Linked DNA regions of Schizosaccharomyces pombe. The protein of the gene in region 2 binds, or shares a complex with, the protein of the main gene of each other region. Each region holds a gene or a part of one and is shown on either strand. Other genes may lie near its edges. A codon is read from its position in the direction of its gene.

Region 1 (3,073 bases), on a different chromosome or scaffold from region 2:
GCCATGCCTTTTAATAGAAGCTTCACTTTTCTCTTTAACGAATGCACCAAGTGCCTTTGCAACTAAACTAACGTCTGAAAATGAGTAAACCGACATTTTTTCTACTTGGTTCTGGTTTGCTTTCAGTATTTGCGCAATTGTTAGTAATGGAGTAGTATTAACGAAACAAGGTGGAGTGTCGTAATTCATTCGGTAGTCGGAAATTTAGAACAGAACAAATCTTAAATCAGTTTTCGAGTATAGTAATGTACGATTACGGCATTATCACGGCAAGGTAGCGGAGGTATAGAATATAACCATGAAGCAAGCAATACGTCTGCATCGCTGGGATTAGATAAAGAAGCTCGACCTTCTCTGCATTTTTGTTTAAATAAATGAACCAAATGATATTGAGAAAGGAATTAAATGAAGAATATACAGATGGGCGCTGGTAGCTTTTCAATATCTTTCAATCGAGTTCAAACGTTTAACCATTTCCTAATCATTAAGATTGTTTATAGATGTAGCTAACAAAGGCCGCAAATTAGTCATGATTGAAACATGAAAAATCAGGTAACCCAATTTAAGAGAACATGTGTTCTATTTTATCCAAATAGCTACAGTAGTTGTTTGATAAAGCTGTTTGAAAATGCGCATTGTGGATAAAAAGACACAAGAGCATGAAAACGAAGAAGAAAACTCAAATAAAATTCATTAAATCACATTTTACTGACAAGATGATTGTTTCCTTTCATTTCATGAGGAAGTTTCTGAACAAGAAAGGAAACACTTAAGCTTCCGTTTTCCAGTTCTCACACTTTTTAATTATATAGAAAACAAATCTGATAAAAATTCAAATTGATCGTCCTTACGTACAACGTCCTCAACGTCCCTGTATCGTATTCCTTTACGTTTTTGTAATTTGGCAAGTTGATAAGCCTCTGTTGCTAACTTTTCAACAAATAATTCCTAAATCATAAAATAGGTAAGCTTTTATTTTTCTTTTTCTTTTATGCAATCAAAATGGTGCTAAGTCGCCCAGATAGCTGATTTATCAACAACACACATACAGTAGCTACTGAAATTAACAAAGCAGATGCATTAGAACAGTAGTGTACGTCTTCATCTTGCTTTATTATCCTCTTTACTCTGCTCAATGGCAATACAGTTTTCCCATATGTTTTCTCCATGAATCAATCCTATCGACCGAAACAATTTAAAGGACTGGAAAAAAGCAATTATACCCTTAAACTATAAGGTTCTAATATAAAATAACCCAAAATCTCTAGTGCTATAAAAAATTATAGCCTTCTGATTTCTGACTTTTAGTGTGTTGTTGTCAAAATACGAAGTACTCTCGCGTCGCGACCTAATAATAAACATACTTACTTTACCACTAGAACCTTACATTGTTGTTTAACTTGAAACATAAATATTTTTAACTTTTTTTCTATTTTTAAAGAGTATTTCATTTAGTTCTCATAATTTCTAAGACTTTGTGGATTAATAATTTTTTATAATCAGTATAGCATGCGTATACATCAAAATATACTCGATATCGAGTTAATACACTTGGTAAACAAAAGCCGATATAACAAGGCAGCGTTAAAAATGAAAAATAGTAATCACTAAGAATATTTGTAGAATCCTTTTCTTTTTAATATCTTATGCCGTTTTCATATCATAAAATAGGACATGAGTAACTAACACATCCCGGATACGTTTCATAACTATAAATTTGAATATTTTGTGTAAGAAATGAACTTAAATTGCAAAAAATCAACTGAAAATTGCTAAGATGTCGTCCAATAGTAGATTCATTTTAAAAAAAGAAACAAAAAATAAAAGACTCAGCTAACCCCAAACGACCGATAAGAATCCACTTCTGATTGCCTAATCGCCGCAGTGATTGCAAACGCAAACGACACTTCATCTACTGGTAAGCCAACAAAGTGACATGTATCAATATAAAAGCAGGATTTCATTTTTGAAACAAAATCCAATCTAATGTATAAAAAAGGAAAAGTTCAAGGTATCATCAACTCATGCACTCATAAAATCACGTATCGAGACTACTGGATTCCTTCATCCAACTCTATCATCGTGAACTATCGTAATCAAGTTTAATCATCCTTTTAGTTATATAACATAAAAAATCGGCATCTTAGTGTATAAGATTAAACCGAGTTTTCGAGCTCCTTGGCTATGCAAAACTTGTAAATCTCCAGAAACAAATATTAGACGTAAGTAACAGCTTCGTCGAAATTAAAGAGAAAAGTAAGAATGGGAAAAAATGCAGTTTTAGAATCGTAACATATTTTTTATCAACAATGCCTAATAATAAGAGCAATAATATGAATGAGAATATAAAGCCATTCCAGGCATCCGAAAATGAACATGTGTCACCAAAAAACACATACATGAAATAAACATTGCAAACAATCGAAGTTCAACATCAAAACTCGACATTTGAAACGTTGATAAGAGGTGGAGTCGAAAGCTGCACAAAGAGCTTAACTTTGACAGAGGTCAACAATTTAACAACTGTAACGGCTCCGCTCTCGTCGTATAAAGATAAAATGCCCTGGTCCTCTTCAAACCTTACGTGGGTTAGATTGAGCAAATCTAAATGAACACGTTTCTCCATGCCTAGAGATGGGAAAAATACGTCAAAATATGATGGAGCAACAAAACATACGAGACCGTCTTGCCAAACCTGACTCTCCGCCCAGTCACTAAATATTTTTATATGAATGCTAGTTTCTTGCGCAAATTTGCTTATAACCAGACGACGGCTTGCATCGTTTGCCGCTTGCGACCATACACGAAGGCGCTTTTCAGAAGCCAGTTCTCCTCTCAAAAGCAACTGCAGTTGATAATGAACTACAATATCACCATAACGTTCCAAAGGTGCTGTAAAATGTGTCAAATCGTCACTTTCGTCCTCAATACCAAGACTCATCATCTGGGAAGCGAGATTGCCTTTATACTTCTGCATTTCATAAACTGCTCTTGGGGTAACCTTATAATAATAAAGCTGCAAAATGTTACGAACAGTATCGTCTTCGATCAAACTTAAAGAGCGTAAAAGTGA
Region 2 (3,601 bases):
CATCTGATATTGACCCAGCGGTTGACCGCGTATCCTCTACTTTCAAAATTTCTAAGCAGAACTTTGACGAATCTCTGGTATTAACGGACCCCAAAAAAAAGACAAAGATAAAAACTGCATGTTTAAAAGATGCACAATGATTACTAAACTTTGAACGAACGGTAATGGGATTATGACGATTCATGTCTTAAAAATTACATTACATCCATTTAAAAGGGGAATAAACAGCGGTCGAGATAGCTTTCTATCGTGACTGTAAACAAACGGTATAGCAATATTGTGATAAATTTGTTCAACCGTTGTCTAATACAAATCATCATGTCCGCCGTCAACACTAAAGCCTACAGAATGAAGGTACTTGCCCTTCTCACGTATATTTTTCTTCTTCTCTTCTTCATGAAGCTTCGCCAAAGGATACAGTTCTTCAGCAGGCATACGTCGCAATTGTTTGACTGCATCATACTCCTTATCCAAATCCTTTTCGAAATATTTAGCCCACGTTCAAAGAAATTTATAAAGATGCTCGAATATTTTATGTTACAAACGAAACTTACCAATTCACCTAAAAGCACGACGTTCTCGCCCCGAACAATATACACACCTCTGTCTATGTCCCCGTACATATCATCCACATAGATCCTCTCAATCGTGTATTGCAACATTAAATTTGCTACACAGTTAGTAAACTCACTTATGCGCCTATTCACGCAAACCATACCAAATTGATCAAAGGACCTTAAAATTCCAATCAGTTTTTTTCCATCTCGTAAAACAACAATCACTTTTCCTAAAAGGTAAAGTTAGATCAAGGAAAACATTGGAAAAAACACCGTACTGTCTACGTAGTCAACAAGTGACCCAGAAGTTGTGAATGGGATAATCTGTGTAGCTTGATTCATTCAGCTATTATTTGGATGTAGCATAAACTAATAATTTAATTTAGATTTAACTTTCTATTTCTTTTATAAACGCCTGATGACTTTATTTGAGTGTTTTCCTTAAAAAACGAGTTCGAGGAGATGGTTAGAAGCAAGTGCTCTGAGGTCGTCAAATCTGGAATCCTAAATTCTCCCTGTTTAACCCTAAAAGTGCTTCTGAAGTTTAAATGTTATTCGTTTGTTATGTTTTTTTGCTAATTGTAAATTAAATTATTTGGTTTTTCCATTTCTAAACTTGCCCATCATTGAATGTTGTAATCTGACTTTCTAGTTATAAAGGGAAGTCGGTCTTCACAAAAATTAAAGAACAAAAACATGTATATTTTTGATCACAGATTGTAAAAAGGGAATCTAATTATACTCAAGCTACCTAACAATTTTTCAGCATCATAAGCGGATTAGTTCATTGAAAGGCTCAACATTTTGCGAAGAACAGAAATAAATAATTTGATGATTTTTATCAATTCCAAAATCGAACTTGTAAAAATGTTGCCAATCCCATTTGTAATATCCCTATTCTGAGCTATTTCGACTGAGAAGAGATTGCCTATTATTCTCTTAGAACGTTCATTGAACGTTTTTGGAGTGTTCTGAAAAAAGATAATAAATTTAGTTGTTTTTATCTATTAATTACAATCAAAAATCGAGCCTTTAATAATGTATTGTATGGTTATCAAAAAGCTTTATTTATTTCTAACAACGCTAAAAAACTTTTTTTTTTACTCATTTAATATAAACAAAACAGTACAACTATTTAGTTTTAAGAAATTTGATAGCATTTCTACAAATGTTTCAACTCTAAGGCTCTCTCGGATTCTGCTCATAACGCACAGATAGTGTTTAGTGAAAATTGACAGAAATAGGCGACTCAGTGAATTTATTATACATTAATTAGCTAAAAAGAAGCAACCGCCTTTCTCTGTGATTATCGTTTGGTGACCATAGGATGATATTTGGATTGGATTTATAAAAGACTTGTATACAGCGTTTGTAAAAGATCTAGCGGCTGGAAAATCAATATGAATCAAGATAAATCGAAAGAAACTTCCGAATTGGATGATCTGGCGCTTCCTCGATCGATCATTATGCGATTAGTCAAAGGTGTCTTACCTGAAAAGAGTCTTGTACAAAAAGAAGCTCTCAAGGCTATGATCAATTCAGCAACTCTTTTTGTTAGTTTTCTAACATCCGCGTATGTAATCTATATAACTATATAACCATATTGAAGGGCTTGTATGATGAAAGAATTTATTATATAATTGCCAATTTTATTTTCTTCTGGAAACACTTTGTATATGAATGAATAAAGACTAACGTTACTTAGTTCTGGGGAAATTGCTACGAATAATAACAGAAAAATTCTTATGCCTCAAGACGTTTTGAATGCGCTCGATGAAATTGAGTATCCAGAATTCTCTAAAACGTTAAAAAAACATCTCGAAGGTATGTTTCTTACTCTGTACTTCTTCTAACTATTAAAGCATATGAGCTTGCCTTGAAAGAAAAACGATTGAAACTCCCTAACGTATCAGATGTTGATAACAGAAAGAAAGCCAAAATAGACGCGCATGACACTACTCCTCTAGATGAAGAAAAAGACGAATTAGAAGAAGAACGAATTGCGGAGGATATAGCACAAAATGAAGTTGAGCAAAATATTGATGATGTGGAGGACCTCGAAGAAGTGAATGATACATTAGACGCAAACGCAGAATCTCCTCAAATAGAAACCATTCATCTTACAGATGCTACGGGAAACCCAATTGAAGATAGCTCTGAATCCGACTCAGAAGAATCTCTTCAACTTAATGATTCTTCGTAATTACTGTTGGTTAAATGTATATGAAGATTGTCAATAGTCCTAACTTACATGGAGAGCTAATCATATTTTTTTACACGAAAAACTAAACCTTCTTTATTTTTTAATGGATTTTTTGGATACCTGTTAATACCCCAATTTACATCCTTGTATCCAAACATAGCTTTTTTAAACAGCAGTTTGAGATAATGTCTTTCTAGCACAACATGTATACTCGTTTAATGACATATATTTAGAAAGAATCATTAGATTGTTTACAGTTGTAACTCAATATTAGTCAATCTAGAATTTTTTTGAAAATCAACATTCAATAGGGAGAAGGTCGAAAAGAAAAGAAAAAGTTCATTCTCGAATTAAACAAATGCATTTTATTTTCCATCAGATTAACTTATGTCAACAATTGTAAATTCAAAAGTCTGTCGCCTTTACCTTCGCACACTTTCTCTACGTAAAAATTATAAGAATGCGAATTCTAAGTTGGAATGTGAACGGTATACAGAATCCATTCAATTATTTTCCATGGAATAAAAAAAATTCCTACAAAGAGATATTTCAAGAGTTACAGGCTGATGTAATATGTGTTCAAGAATTGAAAATGCAGAAAGACAGCTTTCCTCAACAATATGCAGTTGTTGAGGGATTCGACAGTTATTTTACATTTCCTAAGATCAGAAAAGGCTATAGTGGGGTTGGATTTTATGTAAAAAAAGATGTTGCTATTCCAGTGAAAGCAGAAGAGGGAATTACTGGCATCCTGCCAGTACGAGGACAAAAATATTCATATTCAGAAGCACCGGAGCATGAAAAGATAGGATTTTTCCCAAAAGACATTGACAGAAAAACT

Evidence for each region. The genes of interacting proteins can lie anywhere in the genome.
Region 1: the proteins of dpb4 (region 2) and dpb3 are in contact, whole or in part, in a crystal structure (PDB 5Y26), measured with the Schizosaccharomyces pombe proteins. Residues at the interface, in NP_595521.1 of Schizosaccharomyces pombe: Leu12 (codon at 1,991), Asp14 (codon at 1,997), Leu15 (codon at 2,000), Ala16 (codon at 2,003), Leu17 (codon at 2,006), Pro18 (codon at 2,009), Ile21 (codon at 2,018), Ile22 (codon at 2,021), Leu25 (codon at 2,030), Val26 (codon at 2,033), Val29 (codon at 2,042), Leu30 (codon at 2,045), Pro31 (codon at 2,048), Lys33 (codon at 2,054), Ser34 (codon at 2,057), Leu35 (codon at 2,060), Val36 (codon at 2,063), Gln37 (codon at 2,066), Glu39 (codon at 2,072), Ala40 (codon at 2,075), Ala43 (codon at 2,084), Met44 (codon at 2,087), Asn46 (codon at 2,093), Ser47 (codon at 2,096), Ala48 (codon at 2,099), Thr49 (codon at 2,102), Leu50 (codon at 2,105), Phe51 (codon at 2,108), Val52 (codon at 2,111), Ser53 (codon at 2,114); in NP_001343092.1 of Schizosaccharomyces pombe: Lys3 (codon at 1,163), Thr4 (codon at 1,160), Tyr5 (codon at 1,157), Gly6 (codon at 1,154), Lys7 (codon at 1,151), Val9 (codon at 1,145), Leu10 (codon at 1,142), Pro11 (codon at 1,139), Arg14 (codon at 1,130), Val15 (codon at 1,127), Arg17 (codon at 1,121), Ile18 (codon at 1,118), Ile19 (codon at 1,115), Gln21 (codon at 1,109), Asp22 (codon at 1,106), Val25 (codon at 1,097), His26 (codon at 1,094), Tyr27 (codon at 1,091), Cys28 (codon at 1,088), Ser29 (codon at 1,085), Ala31 (codon at 1,079), Ser32 (codon at 1,076), Leu34 (codon at 1,070), Leu35 (codon at 1,067), Ile36 (codon at 1,064), Val38 (codon at 1,058), Ala39 (codon at 1,055), Thr40 (codon at 1,052), Glu41 (codon at 948), Leu42 (codon at 945).

The regions. Positions count from the first base shown.
Region 1 is NC_003421.2:682,924-685,996, reverse strand, and holds dpb3 (DNA polymerase epsilon Dpb3), read right to left. Parts: upstream 1,321-3,073; 5' UTR 1,170-1,320; coding exon 1,050-1,169; exon of another isoform or gene 949-1,049; coding exon 805-948; 3' UTR 501-804; downstream 1-500. Other genes in the region: pgl1 (6-phosphogluconolactonase), read right to left, coding at 1-96; sts5 (Dis3L2-like 3'-5'-exoribonuclease), read right to left, coding at 2,435-3,073.
Region 2 is NC_003423.3:1,284,186-1,287,786, forward strand, and holds dpb4 (DNA polymerase epsilon subunit Dpb4), read left to right. Parts: upstream 1-1,760; 5' UTR 1,761-1,957; coding exon 1,958-2,130; exon of another isoform or gene 2,131-2,262; coding exon 2,263-2,381; intron 2,382-2,419; coding exon 2,420-2,760; 3' UTR 2,761-2,936; downstream 2,937-3,601. Other genes in the region: pig-A family phosphatidylinositol N-acetylglucosaminyltransferase subunit Gpi3, read left to right, coding at 1-140; mRNA-decapping complex subunit Lsm1, read right to left, coding at 304-477, 555-670, 719-787, 836-899; AP-endonuclease Apn2, read left to right, coding at 3,221-3,601.